2 linked regions of the Mus musculus genome follow. The protein of the gene in region 2 interacts with the protein of the main gene of each other region in a biochemical or structural test. Links are inferred from orthologs where the notes say so. Each region holds a gene or a part of one and is shown on either strand. Other genes may lie near its edges.

Evidence for each region.
Region 1: the proteins of Loxl1 (region 2) and Fbln5 form a complex in vitro, tested with the Homo sapiens proteins (2 studies listed by BioGRID and IntAct). The link is inferred for Mus musculus from reciprocal best matches to the Homo sapiens genes LOXL1 and FBLN5.

Annotation. Positions count from the first base shown.
Region 1 is NC_000078.6:101,770,348-101,774,155, forward strand, and holds part of Fbln5 (fibulin-5 isoform 2 precursor), read right to left. Parts: intron 1,021-3,808; coding exon 898-1,020; intron 1-897. UniProt on the Homo sapiens protein: Essential for elastic fiber formation, is involved in the assembly of continuous elastin (ELN) polymer and promotes the interaction of microfibrils and ELN. Stabilizes and organizes elastic fibers in the skin, lung and vasculature.
Region 2 is NC_000075.6:58,310,170-58,314,612, forward strand, and holds the start of Loxl1 (lysyl oxidase homolog 1 preproprotein), read right to left. Parts: upstream 3,044-4,443; 5' UTR 2,718-3,043; coding exon 1,517-2,717; intron 1-1,516. UniProt on the Homo sapiens protein: Catalyzes the oxidative deamination of lysine and hydroxylysine residues in collagen and elastin, resulting in the formation of covalent cross-linkages, and the stabilization of collagen and elastin fibers.

The sequences.
Region 1 (3,808 bases), on a different chromosome or scaffold from region 2:
CTGCACAAATAACTCCCTCTCACTGGCCGGCTTACATACAAGCCATAGCATCACATTTTCCATTAGAGCAGAGGTTGGTTTAAATGCACAGGAACTATCGTATTCCCGGAGGCCCATGTGCTCTTCTGTGCCTGCCTGGAAAGGAGAAGCAGGCCAAGATCAGGCAGCTTATCGTGCCTCAAGGACTCTTCAGATAGTCCACAAAGTAAATTCAGCCTCAATCCAGAGACCTGGAAGAACGGTTTCTGGTTTTGGTTTTGGTTTTGGTTTTGGTTGTTTGTTTGTTTGTTTGTTTGTTTCCACTTATGTATATATTCTATACTGTTGTTTGATTCTAACTTTAAGCCAACTTGGCTAAATGAAAATTCAGAGGATAAGAAAAAAAAAATATCCCTAGCCAATGACAACTGCAAGGGATAAAACTGTCAACTAGTGATGAGTGACACCTTTGGAGAGAACACAGCTGTGGGTGGGCAGAGTGGAGTGGCAGGTGTCAGAGCTAGAAAGGATGACACTGGCATTCTTCATCTAACTTTGAGCTGTGAAACATTCCTGTAACTAAGCAAAAGGATTCCCTTGGCTTAGGACTATGTGTAACCAGGGTAGAATAACCCTCACTTGTACCACTTCCTGGCTTAGCTATAAGCTTCCTGAAGATTTCAGCAACTTTTTGCCAAATCCCTTAAAATGTAATTTCAAAAAAACATATGGAATGCTAGTGATGATGAAAACTTATTTTAATGGATGGTCACACGTGTAAGGTCATCTCATAGCTCTCTATACGTGCCCAAAGAAAAACGTACCTGGACCTCCTTACAGTTCCCACATTGTACTGTATCCATGACAACCATCAACTCCCCAGAATTTCTCTCAGAGCCTTGAGGAGCTCTTTCTTACCTAGGCACTGCCCTTCCAGAAGCCAGTACCCATCGGTGCAGGAGCAGGTGTAACCTCCTTCAGTGTTGATACAGATCTGGGTAGGGTTGCACTGGTGTGAGTCTGTTGCACACTCGTCCACATCTGTAACACAAAAATGATTCCAGAGAATGCCTCCCATGTCTAAGAACCCTGGAGCCACCAGAAGTGCAAGCTGTGCCTGAGTCTCAGCTGGGAGGCTGCTGATAAAATCACTGGGTCACACCAAGAGCAGAGTATTTTCCTGATAGGCACTTCTGAGACACACTGGCCTCTAGAGTGGCTTTTGCTCAAAGAACTACACATAGGGGAGGAAACACAGCCGTTTGCACTATTCCTCAGCCTTTATCCTTCTTGACCTTTGTCAACCTTCTCTGGACATGCAGTACACCGACGACTCCTTCTTTCAATCTGGGTCTCTCCTGCCTACCCTTCCTCTTTCAAGATGGCAGCTGGATTTGCTCATTGACAGCTTCTCTCCACCTCTGCCAAAATGGACCAGCAGCAAGTCAGAAAAGTACCATTGAAAGCTGCCATTCAAATGGGAACAAAACACCCATGGAAGGAGTTACAGAGACAAAATTTGGAGCTGTGACGAAAGGATGGACCATCTAATGATTGACATATGCAGGGATCCATCCCATAATCAGCTTCCAAATGCTGACACCATTGCATACACTAGCAAGATTTTGCTGAAAGGACCCAGATATAGCTCTCTCTTGTGAGACTATGCCGGGGCCTAGCAAACACAGAAGTGGATGATCACAGTCAGCTATTGGATGGGTCACACGGTCCCCAATGGAGGAGCTAGAGAAATTACCCAAGAAGCTAAAGGGAACTGCAACCCTATAGGTGGAACAACAATATGAACTAACCAGTACCCGGGAGCTCTTGTCTTTAGCTGCATATGTATCAAAAAATGGCCTAGTGGGCCATCACTGCAAAGAGAGGCCCATTGGACTTGCAAACTTTATATGCCCCAGTACAAGGGAACGCCAGGGCCAAAAAGGGGGAGTGGGTGGGTAGGGTATTGGGGGGTGGGTATGGGGGACCTTTGGGATAGCATTGAAAATGTAAATGAGGAAAATACCTAATAAAAAAATAAAAATAAATAAAAAAAAGAAAGCTGCCATTCACTGTGTGGTTTGCTGAACCCCACATTTATCCTCACAGGACTCCGTGAGCCCACTTTGCAGCTGGGCAAATGGAGCTGAGGAAACGGTAAACACAGAGGTACAAGCTCAGCCCATGCCTCCTCCTCTTGCCTGACTCAAGTCTCCTATGTGTGGAGATAACAGAGGACACAGCTGGGACCAAGCAGATGCAGGCGGGGCTACCCAAGGGAAGCGAGCTATTACTGACTTCTCTACAACCCACTTTGCATATCTGCCTGTTGATGCTACAAATTGCAGACTCTCTCCCCATCCACTCAAAAGGTATCTGTGGGCTGAGGACACAGTATACCTGCCTGATGTGCCTGAGGTCCTGAATTCAACCACAGATAACATGTTTGCATGTGTGGAGTGGAGCTAGGAGGCTCCAGGACCCTAAAGTGTGAGCTCCTTGAGACGAGCTTTTACATCAATTAGCACTCGTTTTATCGTGCTGTGTGCTCAGGAAGCCAGCATAGCTGAACGTACTATTCAACCAGGTAAGCAGCAGTATCCTCAGGTTAAGTGACAACCCACTATCCACAACAAGCCAACACTAAGAAAACTGATGAATCCCTGATAGACTCCAAAGTAACAAGGTGACTGGTTTCCATGGGGAGCCAGTCGTCACTGCTCTGGACATGAATCTCCCCAAGAGTCTTGGTTCGAGGCAGAAGCACCTTCATTCCACCCTGACAAACTCCTGCCCCTGCTCTTTGCCTCCCCCTTCTACCTCAGCTCAGCCCATACAGCCCAGCCTCCCTGGGGAACCAGGAAGTAATGCTTGGCCAGTGGCCACTCCTGTCCCAACCTACTTCCAAGCTTATGACAATAAATAACGCCACCATCAGCCAGGACATATTTACATTTTCCCAGCAGAGAGTGATGGATGGAGGTTATACCCTGGGAACAACTTTGGGAGTCTCTGTTCTTGTCTCTGACCTGAGGAGAATGGTGAGTGAATGTGACCAGGAGGAGGTGAGGAGGAGCTATTGGAAAGCCATGGTGACAAGTACCCAAGCCTCTGCCTTTGTGTGACATGTAACATAAACAACATGCCTACAGAAAAGTCCTGCAGAAACCAAGCACAGCACACTCGTCTCAGGAGGACACATAGGACTTCAACATGGGTTTATTGCACACACACACACATACAGCATTCAAGCCTGGAAACAAAACCTTTCAAGTTTGTCTTTTTTCAAAACTCTACTGCTTTTTACCATACTAAAGACTGTACTCTGTTATTTTATATATAGATATATAATTGAAAATGTAGGGCCAACAAGATGGGTCAGTTAATAAAAGAAAGAAAGGCACCTGCCATCCCTAACAACCTGAATTCAATTCCTGGAATTGATATGATGGACAGAGAGAACTGACTCACACAGTTTGTACTCTGAGCTCCATGCCATAGCATGACTACCTATACATACATACATACACACACACACACACACACACACACACACACACACACACACACAAGTGCATATGCACATATACAGACACATGCATACACATGTAAACACACACATACATGCCTGCATGAACTTAAACACACACATTTAATTAATGAATTTAAATTTTTAGATTTAATTTTCACTTAATTCAATTAACTTTTACTATATATTTTAAATGGACTTGTCTACATAATATCTGTTTTGAGAACCCAGTGGATCCATAGATCCCTGGAACATGAGGACTGTTAAATCCCAGCCAGGCTTCCTCAGCCAACTAACTGA
Region 2 (4,443 bases):
AGAAATCGTTATTCAGTGCTGACAGAGACTGAGGAGCCAAGGCTGGGCTGAGCTCCAACACCCTTGAGTCCCAAAGGCTCCTTTTCACCCGACAGCCCTGGTATAGCAACCCTGGTATGGAGAAGGCAATTGCAGACAGGGCGCTGCCCCAGGGTGCACTGCGTGTGCATTGAGAACTCGGTGGAAAGCTTGACATACAGGCAGCCCTGTATGGAGAGCATCAGCAAGGGGATTCTAGGACAGCTGCGGACGGGCTGATGGCCATCCAGCACTGGCCAGACGCAACAGTTGGCCCCTGTCACAGTAACAGCACATGTGGAAGCTGCCCATCTGGCAGAGGAAGACTACTCCACCCTGACCCTTGTGTGCAGATGACATGGCCTTCCCAAGGATAGGTCATATCTTCATCCCTGGGGAGAGCCAGAGGGTGGCCTGTCTTCAGACATTTCCTGGGACTCTCCCTCAGAGCCAAGACGAGAGTGAGGTCGTGGAGCACGAGCCTGGGTTATGTTTTACAGAACATCATGAAGTACGGTGCCCTAGAGAAGTAATATTTAATGTGATGTGTTTAAAAACAAAATCAATACAAAAAATCTGCAATGAACAAATATCCCATTTCAAATAAAAAAAGGACCCATTATTGATTTTTCAGTTTGCCCCAGGTTATGGAAACATTATTGAGTCTGTTTAAAATTTGGACATATTTGTTCATAAGAGATTTTTTTTAATGCACTGAAATAGTACTAATCTTCATTACTGTGGTTTCTTTAGTGCTCAGTTGAATTTTATGCCCTGGCCAGTGGGCTCTGGCATCCCCAGCCGTGTTGGGATCACCTCAGGGGTCTGAAAATTTTGTCTGTTCTAGTGCAGCTCTTTGGCTGTTTACTCACCTCACTAAGGGCACAAGGACACTGCAGCATCTCTAGAAGCATTTTTTTTTTTTTTTTGGTTTTTCGAGACAGGGTTTCTCTGTATAGCCCTGGCTGTCCTGGAACTCAGTTTGTAGATCAGGCTGGCCTCGAACTCAGAAATCCACCTGCCTCTGCCTCCCGAGTGCTGGGATTAAAGGCGTGCGCCACCACGCCCGGCTCTAGAAGCATTCTTAAGGCCTCTTGACCCTGAAGGTCCAAGACTCCCATGATCCTTTGCCTCACTTTGTGCACAGGCATAGGGGAAATTTCTAAAAGTGTTAAGAGATTCCCTGGGAGAGGGAGAAGCAAGGGAGCAAGACTTTCCCCACTCGTCCCTAGATGACCCCAGCTAGATCTGCAAAGTACTTAAAACTTGGCTAGTCCTTCCACTATTCTCCCCAAGCCAGAGTCAAAACACAGGCCTACCAGATAGGCCTTTGACCCAGATGGATAATAGTTGGATTCAGGAGGAGAGGCACGCAGGGGCTGCATGGTCCTTGTTAAGCCACCACTGGAAGGCCTTTGATAAGAAACAAACAGGGTCCGCACCAGCAATTCACCAGTGGCCAAAATGTCGAGCCAAGGCGCTCGTGGATTGTACTCACCGCGACCATTCTGGTTGGGTCGGTACACACTACCCACGCTGAGACGGCCCTGCTGGGCGCCGTTCCGCTCCCCACCCTGGGAGGGCGCATCAGAGCTTCGCACGGGCAAGTAAGGTGGCTCCAGCACGCGGAATGGGGGCTGTGGCTCCACCGCACGCGGAGGGACGTAGGCCTCCGGTGGCACATTGGCTGCATAGGGCGGGTACCAGCCGAGGCGAGGATCGCCAGCGCCACCGTAGGTGCCACCGGCCCCCGCGGGGGCCTGCGACACGTCGGTGCTGGGATCAGGGTAGGCCTGCTCGAATCCCGGGGTGCCTTCATTGTACAGGCTGTGCGAGTAACGACGGTCAAGGCCGTCGGAAGGTTGGGGCTGAGGCTGCGGCTGGGGCTGGGGCTGGGGTTGGGGCTGGGGCACATAGGGCCTCTCTGGGGCTGGGTAAAAGCCCTGGGCCGGGTACTCGGGCTGCTCCTCGCCTCCTCCACCTCCGTAGTCCTCGTAACGCGCCCGGGGCTGGAAGGGATAGATGACCCCAGCCGAGGCTACAGCCGCTGCCCCCGCGCCCATGCCGCCGCCCGCACCACGGTAGTACACGTAGCCCTGTTCGTAGGTCCGTGACGCGGGATCGTAGTTCTCATACTGGTTTACGAAGGGCGCCTGCGGATAGGGGAACTGCTGCGGGTAGGAGGATGGCTGGCGATAGGTGGTGGCGAAGGCCGAGGCCGAAACCGAGGAGGAGGCGGAGCCCCCGTGCCGTTGCTGGGAGACGGAGGTGCGGGCCCGAGCCATGCCGGTACTGTCCCCGACGGCCACCTCTCTCCAGTTGTCGGGCACCTGGCCGAAGCCGAACGGGTGCCGCGTTTGGCCGCGCACAGTGTCCGAACCCACGCGTCCGGGCAGGGGCAGGGACGGCGCCTGCCGACGCCGGGGTCCCCCCTGACTGCGCCGCTGCGACGTTTGGGGCGCGCCTGCCAGTAGAACCCTGGAGCTAGTCTCCCCTCGTTGGGGCCCCGCGGGCACGTACTCAGAGCCCGAGTTGAGCAAGCTGTACACCTGCCCGTTGTTCTCCCACTGGATCAGCTGCCGCCAGCGTCCTGGGTCCGAGCCCTGTCCTGGCTGCGCTTGCTGCCCGTGCACCAGGACGCACAGGCAGGCACTCCACACCAGGGTCCTCAGCTGGCTGCCGGCTCCGGCCAGAGCCATAGTGGCCCTTCTGCAGAGGCCGGGTGGGCAGAGAGTGGGCCTCGGTGCGTGCTTCTCTTCCCACGGCCTCGAGGACAGGATGGCTCTTCGCCTGCCCAAGCTCTAGCTTTGTCCATCCTGGCCTTGTCCCGAGCGGGACGGCTCCTCCGATGACAGCATTTCGAGGCCAAGGGGTCAGGGCAGGGCAGGGGCGGTGCCCAGGGCTGCACGAGGCTTTCCGTAGGGCACGGGACGGGCAGGACCTCCTGGGGCCCTTACATGGCCAGCCCCACACTGGCTGGCTGCTCGCTAGGCTGGCGCTTTCCCACTCTGAATGAATAAGCAACAGGCTGAAAGTGTCTGGAGGTTTCAGAAACCTGGTCCGCCTGCTGGGGCCTCCTCCGCGGGGCCCTACGGCCCGCCGGGTTTTAGCTATGTGGCCTGTCCCACAGATCAGTGCTCCCTTAGTCCTGTAGCTTCCAGCCAAGCCACAGACCTGCCTGGGAGGAAGGGAATGAGGTAGGGCGGAGGAGGGGGCCCCTGGGGACTCAGGCCTGGTAAGTGGGGTTTCTGGCAAACATAGCAGGATTAAGATGTGGGCACTACCCTGCTGGTTCCACTCAGTCCTGGACACAGGTTTTTTTTTTTTTTAATTCCACTTTCTTCGTTGACTTCACCTCTTCCTAGGGTTCTTGGGGTGCCTTCTCCCTTCTCCAAAGCTAGTGCTAAGAGACATCCTGGTTGGTGAGACTCCCTGGGGAGATGCCCACCTCTGGCTGGGGCCACCCTGTAATTCTGCATCCTGAAGACATTGGGCGTTTGGTCCTGAGTACAAAGACACTGAACCTTCAGCTCTTCTACCAGGTCTCAGTCTACAGGCTTGGGAACTAGGATAGGTATGTCTCTCTGCTGAAGGGGACTTGGGAGCTCAGGGCAGATGCTGACATCACGTACCCCCCACCCCCTCCAGTGGCTTCTGCCCTGTGCTTCCTGAGTTGATAGCCAGAAATAATCGGAGTCTAAACATGAATAAGAAGAACCCAGCCGGTGGCAGCCTTGGATATGAGATATGCCATTGTGAGGCAAGGGGAACCTTTAACATAAAGCAGAGAGAGGGAGGCCTTGGGAGAGCCGTGGCCTGGGAATCGCATGCTCCTTCCCAACTCTGAGTTAGTGGACACATTGATCACTGGGGGATTATTCCACAGAACTCCATCTGTTCTGGCCGATTCTCTGTTCCCTCCGGGGATGTCAGGGCTAAGAAGAAAGGTAAATTTTAACTTTTACTTGGTACCTAAGAGGTTACCCTCTAAATGCTGTTCTCCAGGCTTCCCCTAGGCTGTCTTCTGTTTGGCCTTGGGAGCTGGAGGGCAAAGATTACCCCCTGAGACTTATAAACAAGACAGGAAGGATCTGTCCTCAATGCTGGATGACTCTGTTTTGTAAACTCCTGGGCCCCGTTTAAGGAGGAAACAGCCAGAATGATGCTCTTTGGGAACCAGGACCCCTCTGCCCTCCATCCTTACCAGGAAGCATCTATCAACCCACCAAACTGTGGGTTTCAGGACTGATACTTCACATATGTGTCTTGGGACACTGGATATCTTCCCCCCCCCCCCCCCCGAGACAGGGTTTCTCTGTAGCCCTGGCTGTCCTGGAACTCACTTTGTAGACCAGGCTGGCCTTGAACTCAGAAATCCACCTGCCTCTGCCTCCCAAGTGCTAGGATTAAAGGCATGCGCCACCA